Linked DNA regions of Saccharomyces cerevisiae S288C. The gene in region 4 interacts genetically with the main gene of each other region. Each region holds a gene or a part of one and is shown on either strand. Other genes may lie near its edges.

Region 1 (3,489 bases), on a different chromosome or scaffold from region 4:
CTTGATATCCATGTTCCTGTGTGTAACGCGTTCTGGTCCCAATACTTAGATAATGATGCTGGGCCGATAATTAGAATTTTGTTCAAGATAATGCAATGTCAGTCATCTTCCTCCATTAGGGGAGAGTACTCATTTTTAAATGACTTCATTCCCAGAGTACATCCCGATTTAACTCAAGAGATTATTAAAATTAAATTATTCAATGATCAATTCGTGGCAAGTAAAGTGGATTACGACTTGGACACTTTACAAACTGCAAGTCAGTATCTTCCATAGGACATACAAAGGAACAAAGTCTGTTTGTTTTAAATTTTAGCTGCTATATAATTTTATTTTATAATTGTAATGTATCACTACTCCTCACTGTAAGCGTGCAATTCTTTGGGCAGCTAAGGAAATGATTAATCAAAATGGGAAAAACACCAAGCCAATAATCTATCATTTCTATAATAATGATTTCATTTATCGTACATATTTAATATAAAGAAAATGTTAACATTTAATTTTTTTCTTTTTCATTCGCTGTCAAAAATTCTCGCTTCCTATTTAAGCTTTCCTGGAAGAGACCTTGGTGTTAGAGGTCTTGACACCAGTAGAAGAACCGGATGCAACGGAGCCGGAAACTTCAGATTCCTTCTTGACTGTCTTTTTACCACCTTTCTTGTAAGATTGGATGTAGAAGGAAATAAACAAAAGCAAATAAGATGTTAGAATCAAATACCCATAAGCAGCAGCAGCCTGAGTACCATAACAAGTACCCTTGTTTGGTAAAATACCGTCCAAGTATTTGTGAGCATAGAATGTATAGGTAGCAAAGTAAACAAATACCAAGTCAATCAAAAATTGAATAATTTGGAATCTAGTGACCCATTGCTTCCACCAAACTCTAATACCACATGAACTCAAGAAGTAGTACCAGTACATGATAACGTGAACACCCAAGTTTAGTAGGATAACTACCCATTCAACAGAAGTACGACCAATTAATTGAGTGTAGCACAACAAAGCGGTGGCACCGTGATGGTAAGTGTGCAAAAACAATAACTTCTTTCTTCTCAAAACTAAAAACACAGTGTCAATCAATTCTACGAATTTGGTCAAATAGTTCAAATAGTAAAGAGTAACTAATTTTGGTGCGAAGGCTTCCTTAGAGCAGATAGACCAGAATAGACCGTTGTGATAAACCATAGGAACCAACTGTTCTAACATCAGCAACCATAAAACTAGAGAAATAGAAGTCAAAAACAAGTTGTGTATCTCGAAAAGCAATTTAAACTTTAATGGAGAGGCGTTCAAGGCGCGTAAGATAGCTTGGCCACCAAAGATAATAATGTAATAAACGATAATAATACTAACAGCATGATACCCGTTAGCCAAGAAAGTCTTATTGTGAATAAACTCGAATTGCTCAGCTGGATAGCCACTAAAGTATTCAAACACTTTGGAGAAAATTGGCCATAATTCAATACCGAATGGGTTCTCAATGGAAGGAACATGAACCTTCAAGAAACATGAAGAAGAAGAGTTCAAAGACTGGAACTGGTCGGCAACTGCTGCTATAACAGTAGATGTGGTAGTGTTCATGACTGTTTATGTTTCGTAAACAAACGGAAAAAAGCCGAATAAATAAACTAGAAGTAAGCTTGAAGCGAGTGAAGAGCTGTCAAAAACCAATCAATGACCAAATAAAAAGACACCAGATATGCGGAAAATACACAGTACCTAACTGGGGTAATAAGTTAAATAAAACTTCAAACAAGGCTAAACAACAAACAGAAGACTCCAGATAAATATTTTATACAATTATTTACTAAGAACCTGTGAAAAAAAAAAAAGACAAGCCAAATGCGTAAGCCAACCTTTTGTTTATTCACAGTCTGGAAAATTTTCTGAAAATTTTTCACTTTGTGGACGGAATAAAAACTTCGAAGCTTTGGGAAGAAAAATTTCGCGTTTTTTTTTCTCGCGTCATCAATCATTTGCATACAAATCCCTCTGACGGTGAATTATCATTATTATATTATAAAATTATTATTTATGTCGTTTTCCACTATTGTCATCAATGTTTATTATTCATAATTCTGCTCCTTTTACAACTTTAGTTATGCTTTTTATTCTAAAGAAAATAAGGAAAGTCTATATACGTTGCTATCTTAACCCCAGAAATCTAACGACGCAACTGTATCATACCCGCGATAATCCTCGTAGCAGTACAGGATTTCTTGAGTACTTGTTTGTAGAAGTCGAATCTTATCAGCAAGGACGCAACGAATTAATTCGCCAGTTTCAATCTTTCTGATCTCAATGAAGTTGCTGTCGAATGCCAAGATGTACGGGTACCAAATTGCAAATTTTTGGGGCTCTCCCTCCCAATGAATAATATGCGATTCTTTCTTTCTCCAACCCTGATTATTGACAAAGAAGGCAAATTCTGTGTAACACAGCAAAAACATATTTCCCACACGATAGATTGCCATTGGTTTCAAAGTATCCCTTAGTGCAAACTCTAATGATGTATCGGCCGGATCTAACAAGGATTCATGAGCATTCTGTGAAATGCTAACGATCTGAAAACCCTTTTTACAGCCAATGCATAGGTTGGCCTTGAGAAATGAAATAGAGACAGGTTCAGAATCAAAAATAACCTCGGTGATTTTTTTCTTGAGACTTTTTTTGTTACCGCTACCACTACCATTTTTTTCGGCCAATAATGGATGTTCATGCTCGAAGTACTTAATTGAATGCGATGAACTGTGTGCAGTCACGATTAATCTCTTACCATTGCAATCTCCTTCTGCGAAGAAACTCACATGATTGATCAGTTCCTTGTGATGCTTTTTGAAGAAAGATGTCCCATTACCTTCTGCTTCGATTAATGACAGCGGACAACTGTATAATTTTTTATCAATTAAAAGTATGATTGATTTGAATTCTTCTAATACAGCAATTTGAGTGATATTATTTCTTTGTACTAGTTGGATTGGAGTTGAAAAAAAAGCAGAGCTTTTATGTCTATGATCTTTATTCTGCTGTCTTTTAATGTTGCTCATATACAATCCAGAGTTCGTTGCAATCAGAAGTTTTCTACCCCCATCACAGGAAGTAACACTGTTAATTTTGTTGGTGTAATCGAAGAACCTATCGCTCATTTTCGTTACATTGAACATCTCCGTTTTGCTTATAATAGCTGCTTGTCCTTGCTTTATTTTTTCCAAAAGCGTTTGCAATCCAGCGTATTGCGCAGCATATAATGTAACTTGATATCTCTGCTTGGCACCGTAGTATAAGAAAGTTATTGCGTTTTTAGGATTACTCGTGTTGTATTCTGGTTGAATTACAGTTCCTGAACAATCTGGGTGGTCTCCAATATATTTCCTCAACGCAGGCATATCTTCACCTGGACATGCAAATAACAATGGCAATGGAATGGGCCTTTGGAATACCTTATGCTGGTGCCATTTATTAACTGCTTTGGCCTTTAAAAATAAG
Region 2 (2,869 bases), on a different chromosome or scaffold from region 4:
GGTCATTACTAATTTGACCAGAGACGATGAGGTCTACATTGTTAATTTCCCTCCTGATTGTTTTGAGTACATCATGGAGATATATACAAAAGCGCATGATGATTTGTATAATCATCCTGTGGAGAAATTTTTTGACAGACCATCAAGTAGCTTTGTTTCGAATGCAAAGGGATTTTTTGGACTGAGTAGCAATAATTCAATTTCGAGCAACAATGAGCAGGATATTTTACATCAAAAGCCCGCTATTATTGTTTTGAGAGAAGACTTGGATTATTATTGTGTACCTCAGGAGGAATTTCAGTTTGATTCCACTAATGAAGAAAATAATGAGGATTTATTGCGACATTTTATGGCTCAAGTGAAAATGGCTGCTGGCAGTTATTTAACTTCAAAAACATCGATTTTCCAAGGTTTGTATTCTTCGAATAGACTAAAGCAACAACAGCAACAACAGAAAATTGAAAAGGGGTCCAATTCTTCTTCAAATACTAAATCTACTTCGAAAAAATTGGGACCTGCTGAACAACATTTAATGGATATGTTGTGCTCCTCCGGATTCACCAAGGAAACTTGTTGGGGTAACAGAACTCAAGAAACTGGCAAAACGGTTATAAGTTCACTGTCTCTTTGCCGATTGGCTAACGAGACAACTGAAGGATTTAGGCAAAAATTTAACGAGGCTAAGGCTAAGTGGGAGGCAGAGCACAAACCTTCTCAAGACAACTTCATCACCCCAATGCAATCTAACATATCGATTAACTCTTTATCTGCAAGTAAATCTAACAGTACCATTTCTACAGCAAGGAATTTAACAAGCGGAAGTACAGCACCTGCTACAGCACGTGATAAGAGAAAATCAAGGCTGTCGAAACTAGCAGATAACGTTCGTTCGCACTCTTCCTCGAGACATAGTTCGCAGACCAGAAGTAAACCTCCGGAGTTGCCCAAATTGTATGATCTAGTGCCAAAACCTAATATCAACGCTAAGCTACTATTATTTTGGAGAAAACCTGCTCGTAAATGTTGGTGGGGTGAAGAAGACATAGAGCTAGAAGTGGAAGTCTTCGGCTCTTGGAAAGATGAATCAAAGAAAATCATTGAATTGATCTTGCCAACAAACGTTGATCCTGAAGCAGAACTACATAAAATCATTGTACCCGTCCGATTACATATTCGTAGAGTTTGGACTTTAGAGTTGAGCGTTATTGGGGTGCAGTGAGTGTATATAATATATTAGAGAAAGAAATGGAAAGAGATCGGGCCAAAGACACAATATGTAACAGTATGGTTTCTTGGTATCCCCTCTTTCTATTCCTCCCTTGTTACGAAATGATGTATATTTGTATCTCTATAACAAAATTATATGAACTGTCTCAAAGCACATGAAGAAGGAAAAAAGGTGGCGTCGAAGACTGCTAGATATTTCTCTTCGTATCTTCCCATCCCCTTCTGCAAATAACGGTTTTTCCATTGTCTATTTCAAAGTTACCCGCATAATAAAGTCGTACATTGTTCGAAAAATATCACTCAAAAGCAGCATTGATCCGGTATAAAACAATAGAAATTTTTTTTTTTTTTTATTGTTATAATTATTCTGACTCACGTCTGGATTTCGTTAGTTCGTCATTTTTTCTTAATTTCAGTAAACTGTGATCACGAGTCTGCAACATCATTATACACCGTATATCTGTATTATTAAGAATCAGGGTCTCCTTTTAATTTGCTGTTGAAAAACATCTTAAGGGAGTGTGATTGTCTGTTGATGTATACTAGTCTGGTAAAGCTAAATATTCTTATAAAAAACTTTTGGTAACCCATTATTACAGGAAACAAGATCCATTTATCAGATAAAAATTATAAAACATTAAGGAATCAGGACCTTTTTTTCGACAATCATGATAGAGGCGTTGGAAATAGTTCTATTGCTCGTTATACAATCACTTCAATATATCTGTCGCACATGCATAGCTTTTTTGCTAATACCATTCTTAGGCCTGTATGCATTCGATCTCTTCCTATACGTTTATCGGATGATACTTTATCTGTCACAAATGTTCAATTACAAGAGAAAACTAGGACGTTCTAAAACAAATAATAGGCCGCATAGTCCCAGGCTACATAAGATATACAGTAGTGGGGATTGCATGGATACCTTAATTGGCCAAGTAAGGGATTTGAGAGTATTTTTGTTATCCACGATCCACAGCCACTCTAAAAGATTCTTTTCTACGAGATTTCAGACAAAATCAGGCATTAACTCTGCTATTGACGCGAATGATGTTGAAACAACATCTGACGTATCTAGTTTTACAAATTTACATTTAACAAGGTCATCGGAAGAAGGTTATTATATCGCAGGATCGATATAATAAAAGAAAATATGGAAAACCCTTTCATGGGTGTTTGCACGGAATTAGGATCACATAATGAATACACACAGGAGGAAAACGGCTCGATACATGATTTGGCCATAACGGCAAAAGCGTATACTCACATAATCGTATGCAAACATATCACACAAATCTATCATACGTATGTATACATTTATATAATATATGCATATGGCGGATAATATATTATTGTTCACTGATTTTGTCACTTTATACGTAGTCTTCCTCGCATTATTTAGAGACGAGGGAGAAAAATGGGCCAAACATATTTGATCATTGTACGTGATGAATCCATGTCCTGTAGGCTTCTCAAGAGAACAAAAACAAAACACAGACAAAATAATTGAAAAATGGACGGTATGTTTGCTATGCCAGGCGCAGCTGCAGGTGCGGCCTCCCCACAACAACCAAAATCAAGATTCCAAGCTTTCAAGGAATCTCCACTATACACAATTGCACTAAACGGTGCCTTCTTCGTT
Region 3 (3,178 bases), on a different chromosome or scaffold from region 4:
GAATATTGCATTTGCTTCAAATTATGGGATAGTGGAGTTAGACCCCGAATGCCAATTACAAAACTCTGATAACTCTGAAGAAGAGGAAGTGGACATTGATATGGATAAATTGAACACTGTGCTAATAGCAGACCTAGATACTGAAGCGGAAGAAACAAGTATACACAGTACGATCTCCATCCTCGCTGCTCCTTCAGGTAACTATAAGCAATTAACATTAGTGGGAGGAGGCGCTAAAATAACGCCAGAAATGATAAAAAGATCATTGTTGTTATCTAGGGTTAGAGCGGACGATTTGTCAACAAGATTTAACATATAAAAGACTCGGATAAAATTATCTGATGACTGTCGAAAGGAAACGGAAAACTTTTTTCAACGATAACATGTGTATGTAATATATAACAAAACCATCCGGTCTTTTACAATATAATAATAGTGATAATAGTAACAATAGATCCACTAAGAAAAAACGAATATACGAAAGTTGAATACTTAAATTCTTTCAAAGATTTTACACTTACCTTTTTCTTCTGTGTTGAGGTTTTGGTGATGGAGATGGAGTAGGAACGTTTTTCAAGTCAACGTTAACATACTCATTAACCTTTGCGGCAACACCGCCGTGGGCACGCTTTACCACTCTACTGGTTTTGGTGCCTTTACGTTTATAAACGTTAATGTAAAATGAAATAAATAGTACCAAATATGAAGAAATAATGGCACAACCTGCAAAGGTGGCAGTTGTTGAACCCACACAGTCACCACAATGTGGCAAAATTGGGAAATACAAGTGAACTGCTTTTTGGTAGACAGCAAAATATATGAAACCGATATCCAAAACAAATTGGATAATTTGAAATCTGGTAACCCATTCCTTCCACCAGACCCTGATGCCTCTGGCAGCCAAGAAATAGTACCAATACATAACCACGTGAACACCAAGGTTCAATGAAATAGGGACCCAAGAAATAGATGTGGTGCCCATCAATTGGGTGTAACATAATAAGGCAGTAGCGCCATGGTGATAAGTATGCAAAAATGTCAATTTTTTATGTTTTAGCACCAAGAAAAAGGTGTCTATAAATTCAATAAACTTGACAATGTAATTCATGTAATATAATGTAACGAGCGGTTGAGTCCAAGCACCAATATTACAGATAGCGAAGTATAACCCGTGCTGAACAATAATTGGCACTAATTGTTCAACCATAAGCAATAAAAGCGTCAATGAAAGTGAAGTTAAAACCAAATTATGCAATTGGAAAAGGCCATTTAATTTAAATGGTTTCGACTTACTTAACAAAAACCTGCCACCAAAAATAATAACGTAATAGGCAGTGATGGCGTATAGCACAGGGGGCAAAGTGCTTAATGGTAATTCACCTGCAATGAATTGGAATTCGCTTGGAACAAATCTACCGTTAGTTACACGAGTGACGACATCATCGAAATGTTCCCACAACGAAATATTAAAAAATGGTCGCTCCAAAGTTGGTAAATAGTCATGAAGTTGGGGATAACGCTCGAACAACGGAGCAGCATATTGAGTAACGAGTGAATTCATGGCTTCTAGACGAAGATAATTAGTTCAACCTTTTCACTTTGTACAAAATTGCTTGTGGATAATAGTGAAATGAAAAATATTTTCCAATTTTTCATTGACTTTTTCGCGATGTTTATTTCTCTGTGGGTTTTGCGATTTTCAGCAATGGCCGCACGCCAGGACATGTGAATACGTACAAAAATAAAATGTGACATATTTACACGACACTTAAATAAAGTCGTTTAAAATCGGAAAAAACTGTATAATGCAGAAAAAATACGAAATTACAATTATAATTAAAAACTCCTCCCTTTATATATATACATATATATATATATAATATAGTACACTAACACACGTAAGGTAATGTATGCTCGAGAGTTTCACCAACCATTGGATGGAAAAGAAGTAGAGCATATGTATTGCCCGTCTCAGCCGTTTGTTCAATTATTATTTTCCTTTTTAGATAAAAAACTGCTCATTGCATCTGGCGCGGAGGCAACCGCAGCCAAAGCTGCCAACGGATCATTCGAAAAATTGAACTTTGGAGGCGCACGACTTATTGGACTAGTGCGAGGGGCCGGTAAAGGGAAAGTAGGAGTGCCTTGAGAAATAGCATGCTGAAATGGCAGCAACGGCCTTCCATCTGGGTTTGATTGCCCATTCCCATTTACAGGATTTAGTAATGCAGAAATAGAACTCGATCTTGGCGTAGTAATATTCGGTTTTATTTCTTGTACTACAATATTGTTCATGCTGGGAGTGTCTTCGAGCTGTGCTTCGTGTCTTGAAGCGCTTTGGAAAGAAGATTTCATGCTTCGATCCGAATTATTCAATAGATTGCTGATTGTCGTCGATTTACGGCCAATGTCAATTGCATTCCTTTCATTACTGAAGTTTTGATTATTTGTTACTGACGAAGCTGCATCAGCCAACGTGTCAATATGGTCTAAGGGCCTGTTACGCAAATCTGTCACTGTAGGTTCTGCCATTTCTGAACGAGGAAACTGAATAGATGGTAGTCTTGGTGGTGGTAAAGTGGTTAAAGGAGCACTAATTTTAGAAAAGGTATCACGATGAAAATCAGGCCCAAATGGTCTTATAGAGCCATCGATAGATGAAATAGATGTATTATGCCCATGAGTTGGTTGTCCAACAAAATAACCCAAAGCCGGTCTTTGTTGAGGAGGAATATTACTATAGGCATTGATGTTTGGTCGTTCTGGTTGTATCAAAATTTGAGATTGTTGTACAGATTCTGAACTAGTCCCATCTCGCTTTAAGTCGGTTTCATCAACCAGTAATTTCCATCCATTGCGAGCTGCATTTCTTTGGTAGTAATTCCTTACCATTGTAGTAGATTTGGTACCCAGTTTTTCTGATATGAGAGACCATTGAGAGCCAAACTCCTTCAACAATTCTGGAAAGAGTTGAGATTCACGAACACTCCAATAACTTGTTTTATGCTCTGGTGCAGATTTGTGTTTCTTTCTCTGTAACGCATTCTCTAAACTGAAGTCAAGTTCTTTGGTCTCCTCTGGATAATAACCATTCTGAACAGCTCCTTTTGGATCCATTATTTGTACCCCATTGTTGGTTTCTATTACACTGGACTTATTGCTCTCTTCTCCAACTTCA
Region 4 (4,225 bases):
ACTTCGTTCCTTTGCTGTTAGAAAATCAGTCGGTGTTGGACTCTTCGTCTTTTAAATTCTTGACAAGAGAAGAGTTTTTAAATGAAAAGAACTAACGAGAAAAAACCAGGGGAAGGAGGGAAAGAGCGAAAATACTCGTGATCTAAACTCTTTTAGGTTAGTTTTCGTTGGAGGCAGTGGTCTTAAGACGATGGTGAAAGAAAGGACTTATTTGTAGAAGGATTGTTTATTTAATCCTTGAACTAAACAAATGACAAACTCAGGTCTCTAGCGTTCCTGTTCGTGGCCTTTAATAACTTGATGGCAATGGTAGAAAGACACACCTGCGTTATATAAGTTTAGTTTTCCCTTCTTTTCCTTTCTCATCCCCTCGTGAAGCGACTCGGCCCCTTTGGTCAGAAAATTCAAGGTGATACAAGTCGTCGTCCGTGACATAGGATCAGGAATCACAATCATCACATTGCACTCTCGTTCTTTAAATTATGTATGAGATTTGATTCTATATAGCTACTTGGTGGCGGTATCCTCTCCTGGACCCAACTTGTATAATGCGTCTAGGAATCCCACAATCAATTTGTCTGCAACGCCAGCAGTTTTAACGCTCCCGGCGACACCATATAGAGCGCTAGTTCCGTCTGGGGATGGTTTAGAATTTGATTCGCTCTTCAACTCTTGCACGGTAGTACGTAAAATGTCGCAGATCTCATCCACAACATGAGCGCTCAATCTCGTGAAGGCCATGTGTAGTGCAACCGGCTTTTGTAGGGCATTGAAATGCCAGCCTTTCTTGGACAACCTGTCAGATAGTTCGTGTATGTTCAAGGTCTTTGAAGAAAATGAAATGACTGAATATCTAGGGTTGCCCATTATATTCAGGTCTGGAATGTTTTCCTGGATGTATTTTTTAAACTTCATTGCTGCACCGACTATTTCTTGGCACGACTCAATGTACCCATTTTCACCCATGTTGACCATAGTGGCCCAACAACCTACGACAATAGCACCAGGCCTGGACCCTGCTAATGTAGGAGAGCCATATAACCCGCCAGTCCAAGCAGGATTTACGTAATACTGATGCATTCGTAAGTCGCTGTTTCTATACATTATAACTGACGAGCCTTTTGGTGCAAATCCATATTTATGAGTGTCACATGATATTGAGGTGACTCCCGGGACTCTAAAGTCAAGTAATGGCAGATTTTTGTAACCAGCCTTTTCCATAAATGAAACAATAAAGGAACCTAGACAACTGTCGACGTGTAAAGGAAGTTTATATTTTTGTGCTATTTTACCCAATCCTTCAATATCATCGGCAATACCATGAGGAAAGTTTGGAGCGGAACCGACCAGTAAAATTGTGTTCTTATTGATGAATTTTTTCACTTTTCCCAGGTCCACTTGATATGTCGTTGGATCTAGCTCCACGTGGCGTAGCTTCATGCCAAAGTAATAAGCAGCTTTGTCAAACCCAGCATGTGCAGTTACGGGAGCAATTATTTCTGGTTCGGTGATTCCACGATGATGAAGGGCATACATTTTAGCGCTCAGACATGCTAAAAGCAAGGATTCTGTACCACCTGAAGTTGTGGTACCACAACCTGTATCAGAAGGGGCATTAAACATTCTTAAAACCATAGAAACCACTTCGGATTCCATTTTACGTACGGCAGGAAAGACATCGGGATGTAATTGATTGGCAACGCAATATTTTTCGTATGCGATTGTTTGTAAGTGGATCAAATCATCACCACCGTGGTAAACGGCACCAGAGACCTTTCCTTCCTTCCATTGGGTATGTGGTATCAAGTCGTTCAATTTATTTAGCTCTTCAATAACATCATCCTGAGGTATCCCATTGGATGGCAACTGTGGGAAATTCATTAACTGAGAGTCCGATCTAATTAGTTCGTCTTCGATCGATTGTTTGACCTTTGTGACTTCCTTTTCTACGGTACCCCTCAAAAATGGTGAGTCCAATAACCAACGAAACAATCTTCTGGAACTATGCTCGTATGTTCTCACTGCTAACCTCACCGGCCCATAAACTTTCAACAGATAAAAAAAATTACTTATTAGCTTGTAACAAAAGATCACAAACAAATAATCCTTCAACATGTTGTACCATGGGGTATTTCTGAGGTAACCATGTATGGCTATTTTTAATTCGTTGATGGTTAGAATCATAAACTGGGCAAAGTCGCCTTCTTCCCTTAGTAAATGAATTGGCATGCCATACCAACCATTAATTGATACTGTTTTATTTGATACTCCACTCATTGTATTAGATGGAAAAATCCCTTTACAGAAGCTAGCCTACTTGCTCGGTAAAGAGGATCTGGAATAGTTATAACGGTTGGAGAGGCAAATTGAGGGTTTTATTTATATGTGTACTGAAAATATACCAATTTTTTCAATCAAAAAACCCCGATGCGGCCGGCCGGTATATATGGTAACTAACATGAAATAATGCACCAGAGTAGTTGATGAAATGTTTCTGAAGAATAAGGCGATAAACGATAGGCAACTGTGTAGATTTAAATATTTGGCCAATCTCTATGTACTTTCTCTTTTTTTCCAGTGTCAAATACTTGTAGAAACAGTCTAATTCATTAAGAAAGTATATAAAATCTCTCTATATTATACAGGCTACTTCTTTTAGGAAACGTCACATTCATGTGTAATTAGGGGTATTGGATCTTGTTGATCTAAACCGTGTACCATTTGCGGCAGCTTTTTCCACCTGGACGTTGTTTTTGTTTTTTAAGTCGTACTGTCGGTTCATTAAGGTTATGTAATTCTTTAAGAATTTGTTTCTTGCTTTAAGCGACTGAAAATCATTCTGTAAACGTTCCAGCTCCTTCTTCAAGCTTTCTGTGGAAAATTTAGTCAGTGGACCATTAACTTCGTTTTCTAAAGACTTCATTGATTCTTGCAAAATTTTCAATGTTTGCGCGGACTCTGCGGCTTTTGAAGATTCTATTTGATATTTGGAACGTAGTTCATCATTGAGCTTTGATTTTTCCGCATTTGCTTGTTGGAGTTCCTTTAACTTATTAAAAAGAGTCGCATTTTTGTCTATGTATTCCTTCAACTTGTCTGCTAAGGCAGATCCCTCTTCCAGATGATTTTCTGATGAAATAGTATTCGAGGGCAATTTGTTGAAATTCTCTAGTTCCTGCCTATTTTTCAGTAAGTGATTTATTTTATTTTGTAGCTTGGTAGATTCTGTCATCGCATGCTTCAACCTTTTTTCAGAGTCATTAATGGATTTTTCCACTTCTTGTTTTTTCTTGAATGTAAGACCAACAGAATTCTTTATTTCGTCCAACTGGTTCTGCCGTTGAGTTTCGTTTAATCGTTTCTCGTACAGTGGAACAGTGCCTTTGGCATACTCGTCCTGTATATCTCGCAATCTTATGACGGCTCTATGCATTAACTCTGTTTGGTAGGTTTTGATATCCAATGGTCCGTCCCAAAGGGGCAATTCTGTAGACGAATATTGCAATTTTGTTAATTGAGGCTGCCAAAACCCAGAATCGCTCGAATCTTTGGAGGCCTCATCTAACGTTATCAAATCCAAAACCGGTAAAATGTTATTGCAATCTTTCCCCTCTAAACAACACTTTACCAATTTAATATAATCAATCTCACAGTTGTTCACCGGAGCATTCCTTGCTTGCAAAAAATATAGTAAGGAGGATTTGATCTCTTCATATTCTTGGCTATCATCGACATGACCGTTATTGCTCAAATGCGACGATTTAACACTTGAATTCTTGATTTCAGAATCTAACAAGTAATGATCTGGAGAATTTTGTACTAATAGCTTTATTATCGGAATATCCTTATTGGCATTATTCCTCAGTACCTGCAAAGCGGGCAATTCAACTTCCAACATTGGATCAAAACTAATTATCATATCTATATCATAGTTAGCCAATAGGTATTGATCGTGTTTGAGATGTTTGGTAGTGGCTAAAAACAGCCAGTCATCCGTATTTATTTTTCTTTTTTTCAGGTTTCTTTTCACTGAGTAATCATAGTCGTCCTTAGAATAACCTGTATAAGAGGTCGAATTGGAATTAGAGCTTGTGCTGCTTACAGAATTTGGTGTTCCATCTTTATTTATTGTGGAATCGACCGTAGGTAGATTAGGGAATTTGTGTTTCTCATTATAAAGAGATGTACCGGAAAGTCTCTTGGTTCTGAATTTCTTGCCTAATAT

The links.
Region 1: mutations in DPL1 (region 4) and ELO3 together harm fitness more than expected from each alone (negative genetic interaction), as found in Saccharomyces cerevisiae (5 studies listed by BioGRID).
Region 2: mutations in DPL1 (region 4) and IRC23 together harm fitness more than expected from each alone (negative genetic interaction), as found in Saccharomyces cerevisiae (2 studies listed by BioGRID).
Region 3: mutations in DPL1 (region 4) and ELO2 together harm fitness more than expected from each alone (negative genetic interaction), as found in Saccharomyces cerevisiae (4 studies listed by BioGRID).

The regions. Positions count from the first base shown.
Region 1 is NC_001144.5:865,449-868,937, reverse strand, and holds ELO3 (fatty acid elongase ELO3), read right to left. Parts: upstream 1,585-3,489; coding exon 547-1,584; downstream 1-546. Other genes in the region: VID22 (Vid22p), read left to right, coding at 1-276; Rho family guanine nucleotide exchange factor ROM2, read right to left, coding at 2,154-3,489.
Region 2 is NC_001147.6:411,112-413,980, forward strand, and holds IRC23 (Irc23p), read left to right. Parts: upstream 1-1,895; coding exon 1,896-2,369; downstream 2,370-2,869. Other genes in the region: WHI2 (Whi2p), read left to right, coding at 1-1,219; TOM6 (Tom6p), read left to right, coding at 2,741-2,869. UniProt on the Saccharomyces cerevisiae protein: Is probably involved in a pathway contributing to genomic integrity.
Region 3 is NC_001135.5:188,975-192,152, reverse strand, and holds ELO2 (fatty acid elongase ELO2), read right to left. Parts: upstream 1,562-3,178; coding exon 518-1,561; downstream 1-517. Other genes in the region: exosome non-catalytic core subunit RRP43, read left to right, coding at 1-319; SNT1 (Snt1p), read right to left, coding at 1,984-3,178. UniProt on the Saccharomyces cerevisiae protein: Component of a microsomal membrane-bound long-chain fatty acid elongation system, which produces the 20-26-carbon very long-chain fatty acids (VLCFA) from long-chain fatty acid precursors and is involved ceramide and inositol sphingolipid biosynthesis.
Region 4 is NC_001136.10:1,049,952-1,054,176, forward strand, and holds DPL1 (sphinganine-1-phosphate aldolase DPL1), read right to left. Parts: upstream 2,278-4,225; coding exon 508-2,277; downstream 1-507. Other genes in the region: HDA2 (Hda2p), read right to left, coding at 2,672-4,225. UniProt on the Saccharomyces cerevisiae protein: Sphingosine-1-phosphate lyase that cleaves phosphorylated sphingoid bases (PSBs), such as sphingosine-1-phosphate, into fatty aldehydes and phosphoethanolamine. Prefers C-16 dihydrosphingosine-l-phosphate (DHS-P) as a substrate.